Oryzias latipes: one gene and its partner. The protein of the gene in region 2 interacts with the protein of the main gene of each other region in a biochemical or structural test. Links are inferred from orthologs where the notes say so. Each region holds a gene or a part of one and is shown on either strand. Other genes may lie near its edges.

Region 1 (4,502 bases), on a different chromosome or scaffold from region 2:
TGAGCAGTGAAGAAGAAAAAGAAGTTTGGTGGATTGCTTTTTCTTTTTGCAGCTTCATTTTGATAACGAATAAGCATTTCTGGTACTTTATTTTTAATTGTGCTATAGAAACACTTCTATAAAGGGGTGCTGGCATCTTAATGCAGAAAATCATCTATTGTGTAAATGTAATTTCAGCTAATTGACCGGTTTGCCTTTCGGCTTCAGCCCATCAACCCTGCAGTTCTGGAGACTTTGACTTTTCAAACGTAAACTTCAGAAGATTCATCAAACGTGTTTTTCATAGAGACTCAGCTGCACACATCTCCAAAGAGCAGATCTCTGCTGAAGTTTGGTGCCATCATGCAAACGTCTCAGCAGGTTTTCAGAAGACGGCGGCGTTTCATCCGAGATAAATTAGAGGATGAACAGTCAGCGCTGCAACCAAAACCACCCGTTTAGTGAAGCAAACCTAGAGCAGTTCAGTCTGAACCTGATAGACCACAGCTGACGCTTCTTTAGGATGGAGGAGACACAGAAAAAAAGAGAAGGAACCACTGGAGTAGGAGCAAATGCCTCCTGAAGGTGGGCAGCTCCTCCCAGAGCAGAAGTTGAGACTCAGGTCACACAGTTCCAGAAAAGAGGCGAAGATGTTTTTTAAGAACAGATTTTATTAATTCAACACGTCAATAACAGCTGTTAGAATACATTTCTTTATGTTACAGTTTCATCGTCCTGAACAGACTCACACGTGGAACATGTTGGCCACAGCGGCGGCGTCCAGAGCTGCTGCTGAACTCAGCGTTTTGTCACCCAGAAGAATCACCAGGGGGAATTCCAGACGTAATAAAATAAGATTTTCATTTTATTGTCTTTATGAACATTTAAAAAACCAAACTCGTACATAATGAACTGTGAGCCACCGGGCGGCCATGCTACGTTCTGCATTTACAAAGAGAAGCCACTAAGAGAAGTAAAAGAAAAAAAAACCAGGGACCCCACAGGCTCAAACCATCTACGCGGCTCGGTCCCACCAACCATGATGTCACGAGACGCTGAGGAGATCCACTCCGGCCGCCTGACCCTCCAACAGACGAGGAGTTCTATGGACAGAACCTTCAGCGGAGCCACAGGAGCAGAACTCCTCGAACACCCGAAGCCTTCGTGTCTTCCAAACCGGAAGATCAGATTTCATTTGACTCCAGCTTCTTTTTCTAACCATGAATCCGCCTTCTTCTGCTGTGAAGGAAGTTCTGATCCAAATGCAACATGGAGATGCGGATGAGAACGTGTCGTGGACAAGCGCGACCCTCTAGTTGAAACCCTCAGAACCTAAAGCCCACGGCGAATGGAAACGGGTCACAAAGTGCAGGAACAAATGAAAACATGCAGAGCTTCCAAACGAGTCCTCTGAAGGTTTTCCATCAAAGTGCAAACATCTCTTCCACCGGGAGATGCGACGGCCTGAAGATTCACTCTGGGACTAAAACGGATCCTGCAAAGCCGGCTCTGGTGTGAGCTCATCAGCAGAGACAGGAGCCTGACGGGCGGGGCAACGGGAGGTTCAACTGTTGTGAGATGTGTGACGGACAACAGCCGCTCCACCTGACAGCAGGAGGTCCAGGAAGCAGAGCAGTGCGAAGAGCGCAGTGATGCAGCTGCAGAGTGACAGCCTCTGACCTTCAGACGTCTCCACTGACCCAAACGCGCAGCTCCGCCCATCACTTCCTGTCCACAAACGTCTTTGCAGGAGCCAGGCAGACCACATCCTGAACTTCAACCAAAATAAGAGCTTCACCTGTGAACCTGGATTTGGACCGAGAACAGGGTCACATCGTATGAAAGTCCAGTGTAGAAACATCTCAGGAAGTCTGCAGCTGCTCCAGAGCTGCTCTCAGATCTGTGGGCCGAGCTTCTGCGGTTGAGGTAGGTTTCTCCATCCGAGGACGCGTAGAAGGAAAGCTTCGGGGGGGTGTTGTGCTCTGCACCTCCATGAACCAGATGATCCTGAAACATCTGGTTAACGTTTGGACTGATGCTATGAACCAAGATCTCCACCTGACCTGCTCCTCAGACCTTCATGTCTTCTCATCTGATGTTTTCATCTTCAACAACAACAAAAAAGGACAGAGGCGGCTGGCTTACAACTTCCTGTCCATCACTAATGTGAGAAGAATGTGATGCAAACACTGAAGGTCCGCAGCGGCGGCGGACAGTCTGTACAAAGAGACGGTGAAGGGGAGGAGTCTGGAGACTAAGGGGGCGGGGCAGCAGTAGTCAGGAGATCAGTCTTTACAGCAGGAACGGGATGGAACGGGGTTTACTGCAAGCTTAAAGGAGGAGCAGCCCCCATTGGGACATGGAGACACCGCGTTCTCCTCCAGAAACCGGCGTTGGTTTGCCAGGACGCCACGAAGAGGAGTGACGCGCTGTGAGCATCAGGCTCCTTCTGCCCTCAGGTCTGAACCTCCATGCTCCTCTGCCTCAGTCTGTCAGGAGAACTGCAGGGTCAGTACGCCGTGACCAAGTCCTTGTCGTAGTTGTATCGTCCCCTCTTGGGGGCGGGGCTGTCGGCGCTGTCCTCAGTGTCCTCACTGTCCCCTCCAGCCCCACCCCCCTCCTCCTCAGAGGAGGAGTCCAGAGTCAGATCTACTACCACACCTCCTGCTGCCGGTGCTCCCGTGACTCCAGCCATCCCTGAGGAGCTGCTTCCGGGTCGGCCCGTCAGGCTGGTGCTGCTGTGGGCCGGAGAATGGCCGTTGGCTTCAGGACTGCCTGCAGACACAAACCCAGCAGGTCACGAACTGTAACGCGGCGCAGACGGCGCTCTAAGAAACGCGCAGACGCTTACATATGTCAACAACCGAGTACTCTGGAGTTTTACTGCGCTCCCGCTCTCGTTCCTTCTCCTTTTCATCTCTGATTGGCCGCCAGGAGCCGTCTGTCAAATACTCGATCTCCTCGATGTCCTCACCCGTCAGCTTCAGTATCTCTGAACACAACCTGAAACCCAGATGTGGATAAAAACCTTTAGGTCTGCCAAAGATCTGCAGAACCCAGACTTACAAAAACACTTCAAGTTGTCCTCACGTATAGACAAGGGAAGGTCAAAACAAACATAGCTTTGATTTTTTGTGGTTTTGACTTAAAAACTTGTCAAAGCCCGAGAGTGCAGATGAAGTTTTCAGTCGTAAATGTTGGACACAGCTTTCCTCACCCATCAATGGTGAGGAGCTCAAAGGGAGCCGGCTTGTCGCACACGGGGCAGGTCCACGTCGGCTTCTTCTCGTTCATTTGCAGGAAGAAGACGGCGTCGAAACACTGAAGATGGGCGCAGGTCAGAACTCGGCACGGCACGCCGAGTCGCATCTTCACCAGCTGGAGGAGACAGGAGGAGGAGAGTGGAGGTTAGTCATGGCGTTTTGAGGAACATCAGCAGCAGGACGTCACAGTGAACCACAGGAGGGACAAAGTCCCATGTCTCAAGTCCCAAGTCGAAACCAACAAGTCTCACGTCACCTCCAAGTCCTACAGTTGAATGTTTCGAGTCCTTTAAACAACAGAGTGTTCACATTCACATGCTTTTAGGAACTGGATTTATTCATCAACATTTTGCAGCATATCAGGTAAATTACCTCTGAGCTCATGCATCCAAGCAGATACATATGGACCGAGGAAGAGTTTAAAATGTTTGACTCCATAAAACCAAAACAAAAATAAATAAATTTAACGTTTAAAATTTCTGTCTTTTTTTCAATCCGAAATTTCACATTAACTTCCTGTAAAAACATATTTTTGACAGGAAGTTAATGGGGGACTTGTATTCAAAACAAAGTAAGTCGTATTCAGACAGAAATATTAAACGTTAAACCAAATGTATTTATATCTTTGTGCCCGGACTATGACTTTTTTCACACTGTAATTGAACAGGAAACATAATTAAACTGGTTAGAATCACATACATAAACTGCATTTAGAGGCAAAGCTCACAGAGTGGCTTTGGGGCGGTCTGTCTGTGTGAACTTTTCAGAGCAGAAATAAATGTCGCTCAGTCAAACAGTTCAAACAATCACATGAATTTGTGTTTCCAGTCGTGTCCCGACAAAATAAAGGCTGATGTTATTCCCACACATTTACGTGCAGCCAAGGTGCAGCGAAGATGCAGATTGCTGCGTTTCTCGCACGGTCCTGGATTTTGTGTCCATCAAGGCTAATGATGTTAGCCCGTGTTAGCCTGCCCTAAGCCTTCTTCCAGCTTAATTCTTCCACAAAAAAGCACCGACCACACGGATTAAATAAAACGATGAGCGAACAGGCGCTTCATAATATTCTTAACATTAATAAAAGCACGTTTGGAAGATCGTCTCGTATTACGGAGCTGCTGCACATGCTGCCTGTTTGTGTGGCAGCGGTTTGTTTACAACGAGACCTGGTTCCTCATCCGGGTGATTTTACACTACTGCGCATGCCCAAATCATTCATTCCGACCGAAAGTGTGAGCCATGGGAACGTTTGTTCTAATC
Region 2 (2,821 bases):
TCTTAATAATAACTTTCTTGATTATAGATCCTAGATCTAAATGAAACAAAAGAAGCTTTGAGAAAAGCTTATAGACATGCAGAGCAAAGAGAAGTTAAAACAACTTCCAACCTGATCAAAAGTCTTGAACGTTTAAAAACGAGGTTTGAAATCTTTGCAGGGATTGAATGAATGGATGGAGGCCACCTCAACTACTAATGAACAGAGTGAATGGGTTTTCTTGATGCGTTTTAACAAAAAATCATGTCGACTAACATTTTCATGTGTAACTGGCGATTTATTAGGAAGTTTGAAGAGACGTTTTTTCTTCCAGCTCTTTCCAGCAAAGGGAAGCAAACCACTCTTCAGTTCTCGACCGTCTCTAAGAAGCCAAAGAAGAATCCGTGGTCGGATGAGGAATCTGAAGCAGGATCAGATGAGGAATCCCCCGTTGCCCCGAGGGAGCATGTGAACCGTCCCACCAAAGGTGAAACCGCTTTAGGACTTGAAACTGCCATTTTCAATGGATTTGAAAAAAAGCCCCATTTTTTTCCTCGTTCACTGGAACAGGTCCTTCCTGTTGCCTCTAACTATACAGATTTTCACTTTCCTTAAATTGGAATATTTTGCTCCTTTTCTAATCATGGCTCCTGTTTTCCATTATAGCTCCGGTAAAGTACGTTCTGTCTGACAGTGAAGATGAGTTCCATGATCTGGGAAAGACGCGCGCTCCAAAGCGGAAGGCCATCCTCAGTGACGACGACGCCAGCTTCGCGCCAGAGCCCAGCGTCCTCTCTGACAGCGACGTGGCCTCTCCAGCTCCTGCTGTCAAAGCACCAGAGCCGGCGTGAGTTCGAGACTGCAGAGGATGTCTATCCATTTCTGTCCAAAACTAACAGAAAATGTCGTGTTTTCCAGAAAAAAAGTGCCAAAGATGAAAACGGTTAAACCAACCAAAGTCAGCTCGAGCTGTGAGTGTCTACCTTATAATAACTGCTGGTAATGCGATGAAGCAAATTGACTTGACGGTTTTGTTCTTACTGGAATGTTGCAGCTCTGTCTGGGGATTCGGAGCCTCTTTCAAAGGCTCCAGCTAAAGTTAAAGAGGCGGCAGCAAAGAAGGCGGCTCCTTCCAAGAAAGCAGCTGCTTCAAAGAAGAAGGCTGCAGGTGAGGCCACCAGATCAGAGACTTCCCATTCAGGAGCCTTATTTCTTTAAAATAGGATTGTATTTACAGACCAAAGAGCAGAAACAGAATGCATTGCAAAGACGGCTAAAATGATTGTTTTTCTGTGGAATCAATGAGTTACATCTACAGGAAATCCAGTATTCAATTAGAAAAAAAAACAAAACAAAAGTGAAAGTAGCTTTTTGCCTTCTTAAAAACCCATTCCATTCATCTTTTGATGTATTTTGGAAGCGTTCTCAGTGCTCTTTGAACTATGATAATGCAATTTCTAAGCAACACAAAAAAACAAAAACTTGTTTTCTAGGAGGTAGTTTCTGCAGAGCCGCAGGAGTTCATTAGAAATTTCCTCCGAGTTGCCTGATGAAAGCTGTGCCATCTTAAATGACATTATTTGTTTTTTTGTTGTTGTTTTTACAGATGCTAAGCAGCCGTCCATCTTGGATGTTCTCTCAAAGCCTAAAGCTGCAGCCAAAAAGGTTCCTTCTTTTGACTCCAGCGACTCTGAGAGCGAAGGCAAAGCTGCAAAGGCGGCAAAGACCAAACCTGTTGTGAAACGCAAACAGAGCAGCAGTCATGACTCCGACAGCAGCTCAGACAACCTCATGTCACGCCTGAAGAACAAAGCAAGCGTTGGCACCAAGGTCAGTTCACACACTGGACTTCACCAGACTGTCTTTTTGTTTAAATCAAGACGTCATCGTCACCTGAAATGTTTCATTCTGCAGAAAACGAGGAAATGGGATGAAGATGATAGCTTCCAGGTCTCTGATGAAGAAGCAGCGGCTCCTGTTGCCGTGGCGCCACGAGAGAAACCCTCACGAGCGCGAAAACCTGTGGCCTACAAACTGGACTCGGACTCTGATGAAGACGTTTAAATTGATCTGTGGATCACAGAAAAATCCAGTTTTTCTTTGTTTTTACTTACAGAATAGACAGTTTCCTTGTTAAACAGAAGCCAGTTGAAACGTTATTGTTCCATAACCTTTATATGTTGTGTTAAAAATCTTTTCTCAACTGTTCCTGTTTTGTAAATATTTCAACGTGTGTTTATCCCAGTTTTTTAAAGAATAAAGTTTGTATTGTTTGTCGTAAATGTCGAACTTGATGACTTACAAGGTTTTGGAGTCTGCAAAAGCTACAAAGATGACAATAAGAAAACATGTCATATAAAATGACTCATGATTAAATGTCTCTTTTGCTTAGTCATTAACTTTATTCAGCTATTTGCAGTTACTTAAAAGGAAAGTAAGGACCAATACACAGGCTACTATGACATTTTGTGTTTTATCAAAAAATGTGAACACCAACTGATCAAATTACGCACACTTTGATTGGTGGAAGTCCCACTCTTATCTTTTTTCAAAGTGTTCCTAGCTGGTCTTAGTTCTTAGCTGCAGAGTAGAAAGCTTTATAGCTCCAATATTACTCACCAATGTTGATGGACCGCCAATGTTGGCATGGGATATTGAGCAACGGAAGCTAGCAGAAGAGCATTTAAACAAAGGAATAATGGCGAATCAGTGGAGGGTTACTTCTGCACCTACAGTTCCACCCTCAGCTCAGGTGAATTTGTCAGGAACTACTGCTGCTCTGCAGAAACTATGTCCTAAAAAGTGAGTTTTTTTTTTTTTTACTATAGTTTTACAAATAACT

The links.
Region 1: of the proteins of top2a (region 2) and pias4, one has a biochemical effect on the other in vitro, tested with the Homo sapiens proteins (2 studies listed by BioGRID). The link is inferred for Oryzias latipes from reciprocal best matches to the Homo sapiens genes TOP2A and PIAS4.

What each region holds. Positions count from the first base shown.
Region 1 is NC_019862.2:7,817,204-7,821,705, forward strand, and holds the end of pias4 (E3 SUMO-protein ligase PIAS4), read right to left. Parts: intron 3,358-4,502; coding exon 3,197-3,357; intron 2,983-3,196; coding exon 2,831-2,982; intron 2,755-2,830; coding exon 2,489-2,754; 3' UTR 631-2,488; downstream 1-630.
Region 2 is NC_019877.2:4,655,723-4,658,543, reverse strand, and holds the end of top2a (DNA topoisomerase 2-alpha), read left to right. Parts: intron 1-313; coding exon 314-466; intron 467-645; coding exon 646-826; intron 827-897; coding exon 898-950; intron 951-1,033; coding exon 1,034-1,147; intron 1,148-1,585; coding exon 1,586-1,809; intron 1,810-1,893; coding exon 1,894-2,043; 3' UTR 2,044-2,265; downstream 2,266-2,821. UniProt on the Homo sapiens protein: Key decatenating enzyme that alters DNA topology by binding to two double-stranded DNA molecules, generating a double-stranded break in one of the strands, passing the intact strand through the broken strand, and religating the broken strand.